2 linked regions of the Notamacropus eugenii genome follow. The protein of the gene in region 2 purifies or fractionates together with the protein of the main gene of each other region. This does not show direct contact. Links are inferred from orthologs where the notes say so. Each region holds a gene or a part of one and is shown on either strand. Other genes may lie near its edges.

Region 1 (7,448 bases), on a different chromosome or scaffold from region 2:
CTATTAGTGCAGCTGACCAGAGAGGAAACCTTTGCCCTGCTACACATCAATCTTCATCAGTCTGGCTGAGGTACCCCATCTGTCCCAGTCTGTGTTGCCCTGTCTCCTGGCCCCTGTTGCCAACCACTCCTATCTGAGTCTATGTGTGGCTCTCAGTTTCTGTCCCCATCTGTTCGTCCTCTTGCTCTCACTTCTCCTGAAACCTGTGCTTGCCCCTTCTTCCTGTCTTTCTCTCTTCCCCATAGGAAGAGGGGGGAAATTTGTATTATGTAAAAATTGCCATTTACCTAAAGTGAGAACTGTCTATACTCCAAAATATTTATAGCAACACTTTTTTTTATGATAACTAAGAATTCAAATCAAAGTGGATACTTATCAATCAGAGAATGGCCAAACAAATTGTGGTACATGAATGTAATGAACTATTGCTGTGCTGTAAAAAATTATGCGTATGATGAATACACAGAAGCAAGGAAAGATCTATATGAAATGATGCAGATTGAAGTAAGCAGAGCCAAGGAAACAATGCATACAACAGCTACAACAATGTACACTGAAAACATACTAGAAAATCAAAAGCAAATGTAACAAAATTATAAAGATCAAAAAGAACTCAAATGAAGAGACAGCAGCAGACACCTCCACCCTACACCTTTGAGCAGGTAGAAGGTTTACACATTGCACATATTTTCTTCAGACCGTTTTGAATCTATCCATCAATTTTGCTAGGGCAGGTATGTGTCACAGTCCCAGGCCTGGAATCAGGAAGACTCATCATAGCATGGCCTCAGATAATTAGTAGTTGTGTGACCCTGGGCAGGTCACTTAACCCTGTTTGCCAGTTTCCTCACCCATAAAATGAGTTGGAGAAGGAAATAGCAAAGTACTCTTTCTTTGACAAGAAAACCCCAAATGGGGTCATGAAGAATCAGACATGACTGAACAACAGTTTTGCTGACTTTTCTTCCTATTTAAAAAATACTATTTGTCACATGAGATGGCTTTCAGGAAGGGGTATAGGGTGGAATACGTGAAATATCATGATAATGTGAGAAATAGGAAAAAAAAGTAAAAACTCAGTTTTATAAAAAGAATGATTTTCTCCTGAAAAAAAAAAAACAACCTGAAATTATAATAACCAAGTTTAGCCTGTAGAAGAGACTAGAAAATGCACCCTCCCTTCTTTGCAGAGGTGGAAGACACCCTGGTATGGAACACTGTGTAGAATAACATCAGACTTTTTCCATATATTGCTTAGTTTTGCTGAACTTCTTTCCCCATTCTTGTTATAAGGAATGGCTCTCTGAGAGGTGCATATTGGGTTGGGGAGGGAGAGAGAGGTGTACAAAGTTATAGTTGTAAAGGCTGTTAGTGTAAAAAACAAACTATACATTTTTAAAAAACCAAACAAAATGCACACTCCTCACAAATCTTTAAGGTGGATCCTAAGGGGACTATTGTCCCCACTTTATAAATAAAATGAGGCCCAAGGCCAAGGGACCTGTTTAGGGTCACCCAAGTTTCAGCTCCCTTCCCTAGAGGCTTCCTGGAAACCTCTCTAGGACTCAGTTTCCTAATCTGTAAAAAAAAAAAAGGGACTGGGGAGAGTTGGACTAGACAGAATGATCTCTCAGGGATCTAATGATCCCTTCCAGCTATCAGTCCTGTAACACTAAAATTACTTGGAAGCTTTAAAGTAACAACTTTGTGATGTTTTACTCTGAAGAGAAAAACAGACTGATCAACTTGGAACACTCAGCAAACATGAACCGGCACACCCTGTCAAAATGCCTACCTTGAGAAACACAATTGTGAAACAATAAAGAATAGTCCTTGGACACAAATAAACTCAGTCTCCTCCCTTTACACATAAACCTTTCCTTTTGAGGGAGGGGTAAAACTTCAAAAATAAGCAGTCCTTGGAAAATGAAACCACGTAGGCACAGTTCAGCCCTGCCTCTTTTAAATCCAATTCACTTGCAAGTTAGGATATCCCATTCCCCGGAAGTCAAGGTCCTCTTCAAATAGAAGGAAAAACAACCACACCAACGTCTTGCCTCTTCTAGGACTATTTAAAGTGAGAAACGGAAACTGCCGAATTTCACAGACTCCTGCGTGCTAGCCACTTGTTTCAGTGTTAAACAAATTAAAGTTTCTGATCGGCGTAAACTGAGTGGCAACCCCAGTTTCAGTGGGTCTAAAAAGGACACAAAGATCAGGACAGAAAAAAGGGTTCCTCCTTCTCTCGGGACAAGAAATCCTCAGTACCTCCCAAGAGAAGGATGCCATGTCTCGTTTCTTTCCAGGTCTCTAGTCTGTGCTTCCTTCCAGATCCAGCCAGCAGCTGGTCTGGGACCACTGCCAAGGAAAGGTCAGGCAAAATGATGATTTAAACACAAACACACAATAACCCACCTATGATTCAGATAAGAACCGTCTGCCAGCAGCCCTCCCTCCCCTCCCTAAACCCCTTTAAAAGACAGATCAGAAGTAGACATGTTCACAGCATTAAGGAAAGGAAAATTAAAGAAAAAGGGGCAAGGGTGGTAGGAGTAAGTAACTCACCCTCAAAACTGCGGCTCCGGAGCTCCAGAATCCTAAAGTGAAAGTGAGGTTCTGACCAGTGAGCTATCTGACCAACAGTGAGCCCAACAGAGTGCCCACTGCGCCCACTCCTCAGAACTTGGACTGCAGCTTCTTACAAGAATTTTACCCAGTTTGCCGCTTACGATCCCGAACTTAGCACCGGGGCAAGAGCTCCTATCCCGCACGCCCAAGCACTGGAGGGCAGGACCAACCCCAGGCTTGAGGACTCGGAGGTGACGGATCTAGGGTTTTGTCCACGCCCAGCAGTAGTTCTCCCATTGCTGGAGTTCAAAATCGGGGTCTCTTGTGATTAGGTTTTAATAATTAGTGTAGCTAGTTCGAAGTTACAGGAATCGGGGGAAATTTACTCTATGTTAACTCAAAAGACATCAATAAAAAAATTTTTTTTTAAAGTCATAGGGATTTCGAGCTGGAAGAGTCATTTAGAGGTTTAACATACCTCTGTGTAGCTTACTCCATGTCTGACCTTGGGCAGGTACCTCTGGGCCTCAGTTTCCCCATCTGTAAAAAGAAGAGATTGAACTCGTTCTTTCAGGTTCCTTGCAGTTCTAAATCTGGGATCCTGTGAACATAGCAGCTTATAAGGTTTTGCTCATTTTGTAGAGGAATAACCTGAAGCCCTAAGTACTACTAGTAACGTGAAACATCGATACCTTTATGGTTCAGGCATGATCCATGCTTACTTGCTCTCCCCTACATTCTAGTTAAAGAGCAAAGGGCTGACTCTAGGGCAGAGGGGGCAGGGTTGGTAGTGAAATCAGGACCTTTGCTCAAATTCCTGTCTGACCTCTGACTAATAGATGAGTCATTTAACCTTGCTTGTTCTTGTCTGTAAAATGAGGGGGAGGACTAGACAGTCTTTGGGGTTCCTTCCCGACTCTAAAGTAATGATCTATGCATGAGCAAAGCCTGCAGAGCTGTCTCATTATTAATCCCCATTTTCATACCCCACCCACTCTCACCCTTCAACCTGGGATCTAATGGAAAGCTTTTGTTGTGAAGGGTCAATTTTTTTTCCATTTTTAACCTTTTTTTCCTCTTCAAGTTGATGAAAAGGGTCTTTTTCTTTCTTTATTTTGTATTGTTAAAGCTATTTTGTGTTGAGCCATAACAATGGAAATGTGGCAATGTGGGCCTATTTAACCGTCGTTATTTGAAGTCTCAAATGAATTTATTTCCAATACTGCTTTTCCTACTTGTTTGACTTTGGGCAAGTTGCTTTACTTCTCTGGGCTTTCCTTTCCGTGTGTGTGTGTGTGTGTGTGTGTGTGTGTGTGTGTGTGTGTGTGTGTGTGTGTGTGTGTGTGTGTGTGTGTGTGAGGACTACATTAGATGGTTTCTGAGGTCCTTTCCAGTTGTAAATCTATGATCCAAGACTTAGGTTTGACTCTTTCCTACCTCAGATCCTTACCAGCTGTGTAATCCTGGACCCTTAACAACAATGAACCTTAGTATGCTCACCTGAAAAGTGAGGATAGTAACACCTACTTCAAAGAAGTTATAGGAAGTCTCCAATGAGCAATATATATAAAGTACTAAAGAAATGTGTGCTGTTATGATGCTATAATGAGCCTGTGATCCTACCCTGAAATCACTAGTTTGAGGAACAGAAGACCCATATCGATTCTTCTTACATTTGCCAAAATGTTTGCCAAAGTTTAGCACACCCTCCCCCTCCCCACATGTCATTATTAAAGCAGAAGTGTGACTAAATCAAAGGGAGACAGTATTTTGGGAAAATGTACTCATGAGTACACTGGTGAGGCTGGGCAGTGTTAAAACAGGATATTGCTTCATTTGGCCAGCACAATTTGACTTCTTCCTTGATTATGAAAAAGGCATAGGAAGCAAGCTCTCCATAAATGTTAACTATTATTATTATATGGCTCAAACAACTCATTGATAAGTTTACACAGATGTGAGTAAAAAGGTTTCCAGATCCCATAGGAACATAACCTTTATTCCATCCTACAGAATGTACAAAACAACATAAAGAATTCATAATAGCCCATAAACAGTTGATTTGTTTCCTCTTTTTTTTCCCAATGAGTTCCACCTTTCCCCCTATGGCCTATGTGCAATTGTCTGGACTTCTGGCATCAGTCTGTGGTTTGGACTGCCTCCTGGAGGGGAAATGAATTTGGAGCAGCTAAAGGCTCAAGTCTCTAAGGATTTAGACTTCTCTAGAAAAGATAAGTAAGCCTTCTCCTTCCTACTGAATCTGCACTGTCTTCATAACTAAATAATAACATTTATATAATTCTTTACAGTTTGCAAAAGTGCTTTAGAAATGGTTGTTGTTGACCTTCCTTCTCAAAGAGGACCCAAATGACATCACTGTGCTAGAGTCAGGTTTCAGTGTGTCCAGCTGTGGTTGATCAGACCAATATGATCTCAGAATGCTCTACCACAGGTCAGGCACAAATGGTCGGTATGAACATTTGAGGTGGAGATGCTAAATATGTACATCCTGAGTTTCCTTTGAGCTGTTTCAATTCTGCTTTGTTCAGAGCCCAACACCTACTCTGATGTAGGCATGCCATACTGAGTAGTCCTGTGCCAGCAACTCCCAAGTCATACAATCAATTCCAAAGTTCTTAAGAGAGACCTTGAGTGTGACCTTGCATTTCTTCTGACCACCATGTGAATGCTTACCCTGTGTGAGTCCTACATAAAACAGTTTTTTTGGCAAGTGTACATTTTGCATTCAAACAATGTGGCCAGGCCATTGGAGTTCTGCTCTCTGAAGCATAACTTGAATGCTTGACAGTTCAGCTTGAGCAAGGACTTCAGTGTCTGGTACCTTATCCTTCCAGGTGATCCTCAGAATCTTCCTAAGACAGTTCAAATGGAAGTGATTCAGTTTCCTGGCATGGCACTAGTAGACTGTCCATGTTTCACAGGCATACAACAATGAGGTCAGCACAACAACTCTGTAGACCTTCAGTTTGGTAGTCAGTCTAATCGCTCTTTTCTCCCAAACTTTTCTTCGGAGCCTCCCAAACACCCAGCTAGCGCCAGCAATGCATGCATCAACCTCCTTGTCAATGTATACATCCCTGGAAAGTACACTACCAAGGCAAGTGAACTTATCCACAGCATTCAAAACTTCTCCATTTGCTGTAGCCAATGGTTCCATGTATGGATGGTGTGATGGTGGCTGATGGAGCACCTGTGTTTTCTTGGTGTTAATTGTTAGGCAAAAATTAGCATCAGCATCAGAGAATTGATCCATACTTTGTTGCATCTTACTTCAGAGGCTTCATTGAGTGCACAATCATCCACAAACAGAAAATCATGTACCAACACTCCCTCTACTTTGGTCTTGGCTTGTAGCCTTTTCAAATTGAAAAACTTACCATCAGTGTGGTAGCTGACCTTGATGCCATGTTCATCCTCATTGAAAGCATTTGACCACATGGCTGAAAACATCATGCTAAAAATCATGGGAGCAAACACACAGCCTTGTTTCACTCCACTGATGACTGGGAAGGCAAGAGAGCATTGTCCATTATCTAGAACCCGGACCAGGATGCCATCGTGAAATTGACATACAATGCTGATGAACTTCTCTGGGCTTTAGAAATATAACCTCACTTTATCCCCATACCAACACTGAGGGGTAGGCGCTATTATCACCATTTTACAGATGAGGAGACTATGGATCAAAGAGGTTAAGTGTCTTGTCCAAAGTCATGTATTCATATCTGAAGCTAGATTTTAACTCAAGTCTTCCTGACTCCGTAAGAGCAAAGTCTTTTGCTTCTCCCATATAATAGCTTTGAGCAGCTAAATGATGAAATGGATAGAGTGCAGTGACTAGAGTTAGGAAGACATCATCTTCCTGAGTCCAAATCTGGCCTCAGACACTTACCAGTTGTGTGACCCTGGGCAAGTCACTTAACCCTGTTTGCCTCAGTTTCCTCATCTACAAAATGAGCTGGAGAAAGAAATGGCAAACCACTCCAGTATCTCTGCCAAGAAAGCCCTAAAGGGGGTTGTGAAGAGTCAGACACAATGATTGAACAACATAATAGCTGTACTCCTTCTCTGCGGAGGGCTCCACATGTACAATCCTCTTCTTTTCAAGAATGTGGTACTGGTCAGTAACTCCACTCACTAGAAGGCAGCGTCCTTCAACTCTCCAACTTATGTTTTGCTAGAGAGGCAACCCCCATAGTTGCATACAACTATGCATGTGACTATCATATGGAAAATGTCCCCACCTATGTCATGTAAGGGACAAAGATAAAGAATTTGAATGGCAGGGTGGGACTTTACCAGCATCATGGCTTCCCTGTTCATAATACCTCAATGCCTATGACTTAGATCTTTATTCCACCTCATTAACCCATAGGAATGAGTGGTCATACCTTATATTTCACCACTATGACCTTGAACTCTGAAATCCTCCTTTCCGTTCATCATTTCCCATCCTCTATTTTTCTGTTTCATTCCCACCCTCCACCCCCATTTTTCATTCTAACTCTGATCTCTGATTCCTCTGTTCTTTCCTGTTCTCCTTGTTTATGGTGAGAGGCAGGGGGTAGAGACTATCAGTCTTTACTATCAGTGAGTAGAGTGCTGGGTCTAAAGCCAAGTGAATTCAAATCCTGCCTTAGACTTACCAGACATTTACTAGCTGTGTGACCCTGAGCAAGTCACTTAACTTCTGTTCGCCTCAGTTTCATCACCTGTAAAGTGAGGATAATAATAGCACCTACCTCCCAGGGTTTTTGTGAGGATTAAATTAGATAATAATTGTAGAAGTACTCAGTACAGTGCCTGGCACATAATGAATGTTATATAAATGTCAGCTGTTATTACACTTGAATTCACTG
Region 2 (8,087 bases):
GAGGGGCCTTGGGTCATCAGTGAATTAGGGGGTTGTCTACTCCAAGTATGTGAAGACTTCTCTAGTGGAATAGACAGGTGTGAACAATTTGTTCCAATGGGCCATGACAGTAGTGGAAGCAGGGAATGTGGACCACTTAGACTTTGGTTAGACATTGAAGATACCAAGGTAATCCATTGCATCCCAAGCCATCACTAGTTATATTGACTTTTGTCTTACCACTGTATTCTGATGACTCTGGAAGAAAGAGACCAATGATTTGGTACAATTCTGCTTCACTTAAATCGAATATCTCTGCCAAGTCAAAAGATATCATTCATATCATTTTTACCTGCCTCAAAGTCTTGTGGTAACAAGCAAGTGATGATGCAGCAGGTGTAGATACACTGGGCCCTGTAGTCATTGCCCTGCATATAGGTGGCCCAGGCTAAAGGGTTATCATGCCACTGGACTGAAGCAGCAGTGGGATTTGGCAGCTCACTGGATGTCTGAGCAGCCTTTTCTAAGGACTACACTGCTCACTCAACTCCTGGCATGAAGAAGACATACTTACTAAGTCAGGTGGCGATCCCACCCTGTGGTTGACACACACACACATACACACACACACACACACACACACACACTTTTACAAAAATGATTCCATGTACTATTGGTGCATGAAATGTATGCAAACTTACAGAAAATATGAAATCCAGTAGACCTGAAAGACAAACATGTCTTGTTGTGAGAGAATTGAGCAGTATCATAGCCAAAAAGTAGCCCTGAGTGAAACAAATCTGGCAAATGAAGGCTAGCTTATCCAAGTTGGAGCCAGATTCATGTTTTTCTGGAGTGGCCATAGTGGAGGTGGCATAGGTTTCAGTATCAAATCTAATCTAATCTAATGCAATCTAGTCAATAAGCTTGTATGCATCCCAAAAGGAGTAAACAACAGGCTCATGACAATGTGATTGCCATTTGCAAGAAAGTGCCATACCACCTTCATCAGTGTATATGGTTCCACTGCGATGAACCCTTATGTGATCAAAGAAGAATTTTATGAAGACCTAAAGACCCTCATCATCAATGTGCCAAAAGAATACAAGCTTATAATCCTGGGTGACTGTAATGCTAGAGTAGGCTGAGAATACCAGACATGGCAGGGAGTCCTTGGGAAGAATGGAGCTGGACACAGCAACTGCAGTGGTCACTTACTATTGAAGACTTATGCATCTCATGACCATCTCATCATCAACATTATTCCATGTACCTAAACATAATAAAGCTTCATGGATGCATCTTTGGATCAAATATTGGCATTTAATAGATTATCTGGTGCTGATCCTATTCCAAATGAGATGCATAAGGCAAGGAGTCCACTGATGAAAGAAAAGCTGACTGAAATCTTGCAGGTTATATGGCAAGAGGAGGCTATCTCCCAGGAGTTCAAGGAGTTCAGTGCCTCTATTGTTCATCTCCATAAAGGAAAAGGAAATAGGTAGTCCTGTGACAATCCTAGGGAGTTCTCTCTCTTAGTTATTGTCAGCAAGATTCTTACTAGAGTCGTCCTTAATAGACTGATCCTTCACCTGGAAGATGGTTACCTACCAGAGAGCCAATGTGGCTTCAGGTGTTTGCTGCCTGACAACTGCAGGACAAATGGGGAGCAGAACAAGGAACTGTATACAACAGTTGTCAATCTGACCAAGGTCTTTGATACAGTCAGTCATGAGGGCTTGTGAAAGATTATGGCAAAATTTGGTGCCTGGACGAGTTCAGAGTTCATCGGTATTGTAATTCAGTTCTATGACTGCATGTTTGCACAGTTTCTGAATAATGGATAATGCTCTCATGCTTTCCTGGTCACCAATGAAGTGAAGCAGGGCTGTGTATATGCTCCCATACTTTTTAGCATGATGTTTTCAGTGATGTTGTCAAATGCCTTCAATTAGGGCAAAAATTCCATAAAGACCAGCTACCACACTGATGATAAATTACTTAACTTGAAAAGGGTACAAGTCAAGACTAAAGAGAAGGAATCATTGGTGTGCGACTTTTTGTTTGCACATGATTGTGCACTGAATGCAGCCTCTGAGGCTGAAATGCAACCAAGTATGGATTGATTCTTGTTGGGGGTGTAAACTCAGTTCCATGTGGACAGTCTCGGGCAGGTAAAAGTGAGGACTTCTAAACCCTAGAGTTCTCATGAGGCCCCCCAGGGAACAGCAGGGAATTGAGGTGTGAGACCGAGCTATCTCGTGCATTTCCGCCTCTTCCTGTGGGAAACGCTGGGAGAGAGCATCCCCCGGATCTGAGCACACCTATTGTTGTCTAACAGGCACGGTATATCAGGTGTAAACTATGCGGCCGGAGAACTTAAGTAGGGTCAGGAAAGCCTGAAGGCTCTTAGCGCTGAGGGGCCCTTAGAGGACAGGAGGCCCCTCTTCCTTCTCTCCTCTCTTCTTTCTTCCCTCTCCCCTCTCTCCCCACTTAAACTTCTGCTTTCATTCTCTTACTGTAAGATCTTTGCCTCCTTGGGAGATTTCCCTCTCTCCTAAGGAAGAGTTCCCCCTGCACATGTAACCAAGACCCTGAATAAAGCCTAACCCTTGTTCGACTCTGGAAAGTCTCTTCTCTCATACGTTTATCCGGTTTGGCCAGCAGAAGACCTGCAATAGGTAAGGTAAGACTCGGGTAGCCCTCAGGCCTCTAGGCCTGGCAGATTCTCTGTTGCTTGTGCTAATTTTGGCCTAACAATTAACACCAAGGAAACACAGGTGGTCTACCAGTCAGCACTGCTCCATTCAAATAGGGAACCAACAGCAAATGGAGAAATTTTGAATGCTGTAGATAAGTTCACTTAGCAGTATACTTTTTAGGGATGTCCACATACATGTGGCTCCACATAGATGAAGAGATTGACACATGCATTGCCAGAGCTAGCTCAGTGTTTGGGAGGCTCAGAAGACAAGTGTGGGAGAGAAGAGATATTAGGCTGCCTACCAAACTGAAGGTCTACAGAGCTATTGGGCTGACTTCATTATTATATGCCTGTGAAACCTGGACAGTCTACCAGCCCTGCGCCAGGAAATGGAATCATTTTCATTTGAATTTTCTTAGGAAGATTCTGAAGATCACCTGGCAAGATATTACCAAGACAATGAGGTCCTTTCTGGAGCTGAACTGCCAATCATTCAAGTCCTACTGTAAGGAGTGCAACTCCAATGGGTTGGCCATGTTGTTTGAATGCCAAATGTAAGTTTGCTTAAATGACTATTTTATGGAAAACTCACACAAAACAAGTGCTCACATGGAGGTCAGAAGAAGTGATACAAGGACATTCTCAAGAAGAACTCTGGAATCTATTGTAAGAATTAGGAGTCTGACACAAATGTCAGTGCTGTGCTCTATGAGCAAAGAATTGCAGTAGTTCAAAGGAAATGTGAGATGCACAAATTTAGAAACATTTCTATTCCATCTCCACTTAAAACTATTTGTGCCTGACATGTAGTAGAGTCTTCCAAGGCTCTTTCAAGCTCCTATTGGTCTGATCTGCCAGTCAGACACATCTTGATTCCAACATAGTGATATCATTTTGGTCCTCCTTGAGAAAGAAGGATACCAATCGTGTGCTGTTTTCTTGGCTTTGTTTTCTTCACATTGCACACTCCCTATATACGACAAACATTTTGTAAGCATAAATACTTCAAGGTTTCAAATCCCTGCACTCCACCCTGGATCGAGTATCTCCCACAGGTCAGATTTTAAACCCTTTGGCTAATTTGCCTCTTGTCTCAGAAAGTGTGTGTTCATCCTTCCTTGCCAAAGAAGACCATGCCATCAGAGAAATAATGACAGGACTTGCACTTGACTTTGCTTTTGAGTGAGGGAGGGCTGTGCAGGTCACCAGTCTCACTTCTCCTCCAGAGCCATCTGAATCCAGTGACCAAATATTCATCAGGATGACTAGAGATGACCCAGGATGAGGCAATTGGGATTGTGACTTGCCCAAGGTCACACAGCTAGTGAATGTCAAATGTCTAGGAGTTGCAGTGGATAAAGCACCAGTGGAGCAGTCAGGAGGACCTGAGCATAGAAAGTAAAACTGTACCTCCTTCAGAATTTAGGCAACAAAATCTTGCTTTACAGCCTAATACTGCCAATTTCATGACAGGATTGGTGAATTAATGATCTTATGTTTGTACAGAACTTTATAATTGCAGAGTGTTTTGACATGTCTTATTGAGGGGTCAGCTTAGTTAAATCAGAGTAACTTTGGCTCTGGTGCCAAAAGAGCTAGGTTCATATCCAGCTTCTGGCCTTGGACCCTTCACTGAATCTCCGTGTGCCTTGGATTTCTCTACTTCTAAAATAAGGGAGTTGGACTTTGAAGTCACTTTGAGCTCTAGATCTGTGATCCTAGGATCTCCTTTCATCCTCATAATCTCCCCGTAAGGTAGTTAGTAGAGGTAATATTAAACATATTTTGTGGATATGGAAATTGATAGGCATAAAATTATTCCAGATAACATTACTGATAAATGGAAAAGTACGAACTCAAATTCCTGTGAGGTCTTCTGGCTCCAAGCCCTGTGTGACAATGCTTTCTCAGCTCATAGTGGAAGAGGATGTGTCTAGGTGCACAAAAGATAGAGCTCTGGACCTAGCGTCGGGAAGATAAGAGCTCAAATCCAGCCTTACGTACTTACTCACAATGTGTTACTGTAAGGGGAAAAAATGAAGTAAAATTTGTAAATTGCTTTGCAAACCTTATAGTGATATATAAATGCTGACCATTATTATTGAAAGAGACACTTTGTCTATAAGAGATTCCTGATAAATATAGAGATCGTAGTTAAAAAAAAAAAATAAAAAGTAAAACTGAAACTCTGCTCTTCTACGAAATTTCCGAGAATTTCTCAGCCTACCTGATCCTCCTTCTTCTTCCCACTCAGACACCTCCTACTTCGGGCGTGGCTTATGTTGTAACGTACTTAAGTTAGAGTCGGACTCGCACCCGAAGTTGATCCCTAGAGGCGAGAGGTTTACTTTGGCGCATCTGAGTCCAGCCGGACGCGGACTGCCCTGCCCTGCCCAGCACAGCACAGCACGAGCGGGTCCTCACTTGCACGGAATAGAACGTGGTCGGACTGGGAGCCCCTGGGAAAGTTTGATCCTAGGGGGATGAGCGACGCCACGGCTACGCTATGCCGTCCTTGGAAGGATCTCACTTTCCTGTGTCTGGTAAGTCAATTAATCCATCCCCCTCTTCCCTTCCTTGTTCTGCCCTCGCGGGACGCGCGTGGGAGAAGGACCGTCGGAATCTGTAAACTGGGCGGAGGGCAAGTCTAGGCATAACGCGCGCTGGGCTCGCCCGGGAGGCTGGTGACGTAGGCAATGGGACCGAAAACCTTGCGCCGTGGTGGGCAGCATGGGGCCGGGAGGGTTGCCAGCCTCGTGACTCCGGGCAGAGACGTGGAGGAGAGCTTCATGAAAAGACCGCTGGGTTTGGAGTCGGTCTGGACAAATGAAAGGGTGAAGCCTACAGCCCGAGATCTTGGATTCTCTAGTGGGAAGGGTGCTCCCCTTAGGTGTTTCCTTTAGGGGATTTTTGAGGAAGTCATCGGCTCCCCAATTTCTAGCTGAGATTTCAGAGCATCTTCACTCACTCTCCTAACTCTTCCGCGCTTCCCATCCCCCACCTCATACCTACTTCCTTATGCCCGCCGCTTTTCATTTCACAGCAGATGAGGGAGGGTGAAAGTGCCCCAGGATTTTCATAGTCTCTTTCACAGAAGAATGACTCATTGGGTGAAAAAAAAAAAGATTCCTGCGAAGACTAGGACATGTGCACCGACCGCAAAATGGCAGTGTGTTCTGCTCCGAGTGCTGAACGGAACACTTGCTGTGCCAGGGGAGAGATAAAGGGGCCAGATTTGGAGCCAACAAGACCTGGATTTAAATCATGATCCCTGACACTTTAATAACTGTGTCTTTAAAATTGGTGAGCCACAATTTCCTCCTCTAAAATGGGGATAATAATACCTGGACCTACTTTAAAGAATTATTTTTTGTTACTGTTATTCTTTTACTGGACCTGTGGTTTCTGATATAAAATTTATTTAAAAATTTATAAAATTACTTCTGAGGAATTTCTTTTATCATTGAAGATCAGCACCTCTGAAATTAACCAACAGGCTTTTATTAAGTGCTTACTGAAAGCCAGTCACTGTGCTAAATCCTGGGGGATGCTGTCTCTGCATTCAAGGAGCTCCCTTTCTAACAGGGGAAACAATGTAAATAATTGTGTATAGATAAAGAATTTATATGTATGTGTACCTTTACACAAAGGACACTTTATGAAGGTAATATGAGAAGGAGGGCAGCTAGGTGGTGCAGTGAGTTGGATAGAAATCAGGACTTCAGATCTGGCCTCAGATACTTACTGGCTGCGTCACGGTCGGGAATTCCCTTAACCCTGTTTGCCTTGGTTTCCTCATCTATAAAATGAGCTGGAGAAGGAAATGGCAAACCACTCCAGAACTTTTGCCAAGAAAACCCCAAATGCAGTCACAAAGAGTCAGACACGACTGAAAACAACTGAACAATACCAAGGACAGAAAAACCTCTGAGAAGAAAAGCACTAGCAGCAGCAGTGATTGGGAAAGGCATTCTGAAGAAGTGGAGGTTTGAGCACTCTTGAAGGAAGCCTGGGAAGCTAGGAGCTGGAGACAAAAAACCGACTGGTGCTGGTTCAAAGGCAGAGAGTTGAGAGATGGCATATTCTAGGAATAGAAATTAGGAGAATGTGTGAAGGGGAGAAAAGTGTAAGAAGAATAGAAAGGTAGGAAGGGACCAGATTCTGAAGGGCTTTACATCCCAAATATATATTTTATCCTGGATATAATCTTTAGCTACTGAGGCAACTAGGTGACACAGTGGATCCTAGGCAAGTCACTTAACCTCTGTTTGCCTCTGTTTCCTCAGTTGTAAAATGGGGATAATAATAGCACCTACTTCCTAGGTTGTTCTAACTATCAAATGAAAGTATTTAAAAGTGTAGTGCCTGGCACAAAATAGGCATTTAATAAATGCTTCCCCTTTCCCCTGACATTCAATTGAGGAAAATCACTTTGAGAGCTGAGTGGAGGATGGATAGAATTCAGAAAGACTTGAAGCAGACAGACCCATTAGAAGACTGCTGTAGTAGCTCCAGGGGAGAGGTGAGAAGGATCTGAACTAGGATGATGGCTGTGTGAATAGAGAGAATGGAACATATGTTGGTGCAAAGAGAGAAATGAAAAGAGATTAGATATGGGGGCCTGTGGGAAAGTGAGGAGTCTTGGTTGATCCTGGGTAGCTGGGGGGATAGACATGGCCTTGACAATAAATAGGAAAGTTGGGGAGAAAGGAGGGTTTTCCTAGTATTACACAGTCAGCATAAATGAGAGGTAGCCCTACAGATCTCCATCCACTAAGCCATGATGCCTCTCTCTGGGTTGATATGAGTTTCAAAGGAGATAATGGATGCAGAGTACCTTGGAAACCTTAGATTGATACACATATTTCAGCTATTATTATTATTAGCTTTATCATCATCATCACCACCACCACCACCATCATCATCTCTACCACCATCCACAATCAAATCCATTTAGTGGTCTTGTTTAGAGGTTCCCAGGAAGGCAACATAATAAAAACAGAACAGAATCAAAAAGGATCCATGCCTTCAAAGAATTTAGTTTATTTTACAATCAGTGATTCAATTATGTCTCATTTTGAAGACCCAAAAGGTCCCCTTTGTGAGTGTCTATAGAACAATTGGGCTGGATTCCATTAATGAGTTCGGGAAGGGAATCAAGTTAGTTAAAAAGTAGAATTCAAATTCCATCTTTGAAAGTTACTGCCTGGGTGACCTTGGGTAAGTGACTCAACCTTCCTGGAGTTTCCTGCTTTGTAAAATGAGGGCATTGAACCACATAGTGTCAAAGGTCCCTTCCAAATCTAAATCTGTGATCCTGCCATCTCAGAACAAAAGGTTTTTAAAGCCGCAGGTAAGCAGACTCTTCTGTTAATTAACTGTAAAGTGCTAATGTGAGCTGCTC

Evidence for each region. The genes of interacting proteins can lie anywhere in the genome.
Region 1: the proteins of tumor necrosis factor receptor superfamily member 10A-like (region 2) and CFLAR purify together in Homo sapiens (affinity purification with western blotting; 5 studies listed by BioGRID and IntAct, with this or other methods). This does not show direct contact. The link is inferred for Notamacropus eugenii from reciprocal best matches to the Homo sapiens genes TNFRSF10A and CFLAR.

The regions. Positions count from the first base shown.
Region 1 is NC_092877.1:297,264,548-297,271,995, reverse strand, and holds the start of CFLAR (CASP8 and FADD-like apoptosis regulator), read right to left. Parts: upstream 3,034-7,448; 5' UTR 2,566-3,033; intron 1-2,565. UniProt on the Homo sapiens protein: Apoptosis regulator protein which may function as a crucial link between cell survival and cell death pathways in mammalian cells. Acts as an inhibitor of TNFRSF6 mediated apoptosis.
Region 2 is NC_092872.1:611,393,752-611,401,838, forward strand, and holds the start of tumor necrosis factor receptor superfamily member 10A-like, read left to right. Parts: upstream 1-5,008; 5' UTR 5,009-5,166; coding exon 5,167-5,226; intron 5,227-8,087. UniProt on the Homo sapiens protein: Receptor for the cytotoxic ligand TNFSF10/TRAIL. The adapter molecule FADD recruits caspase-8 to the activated receptor.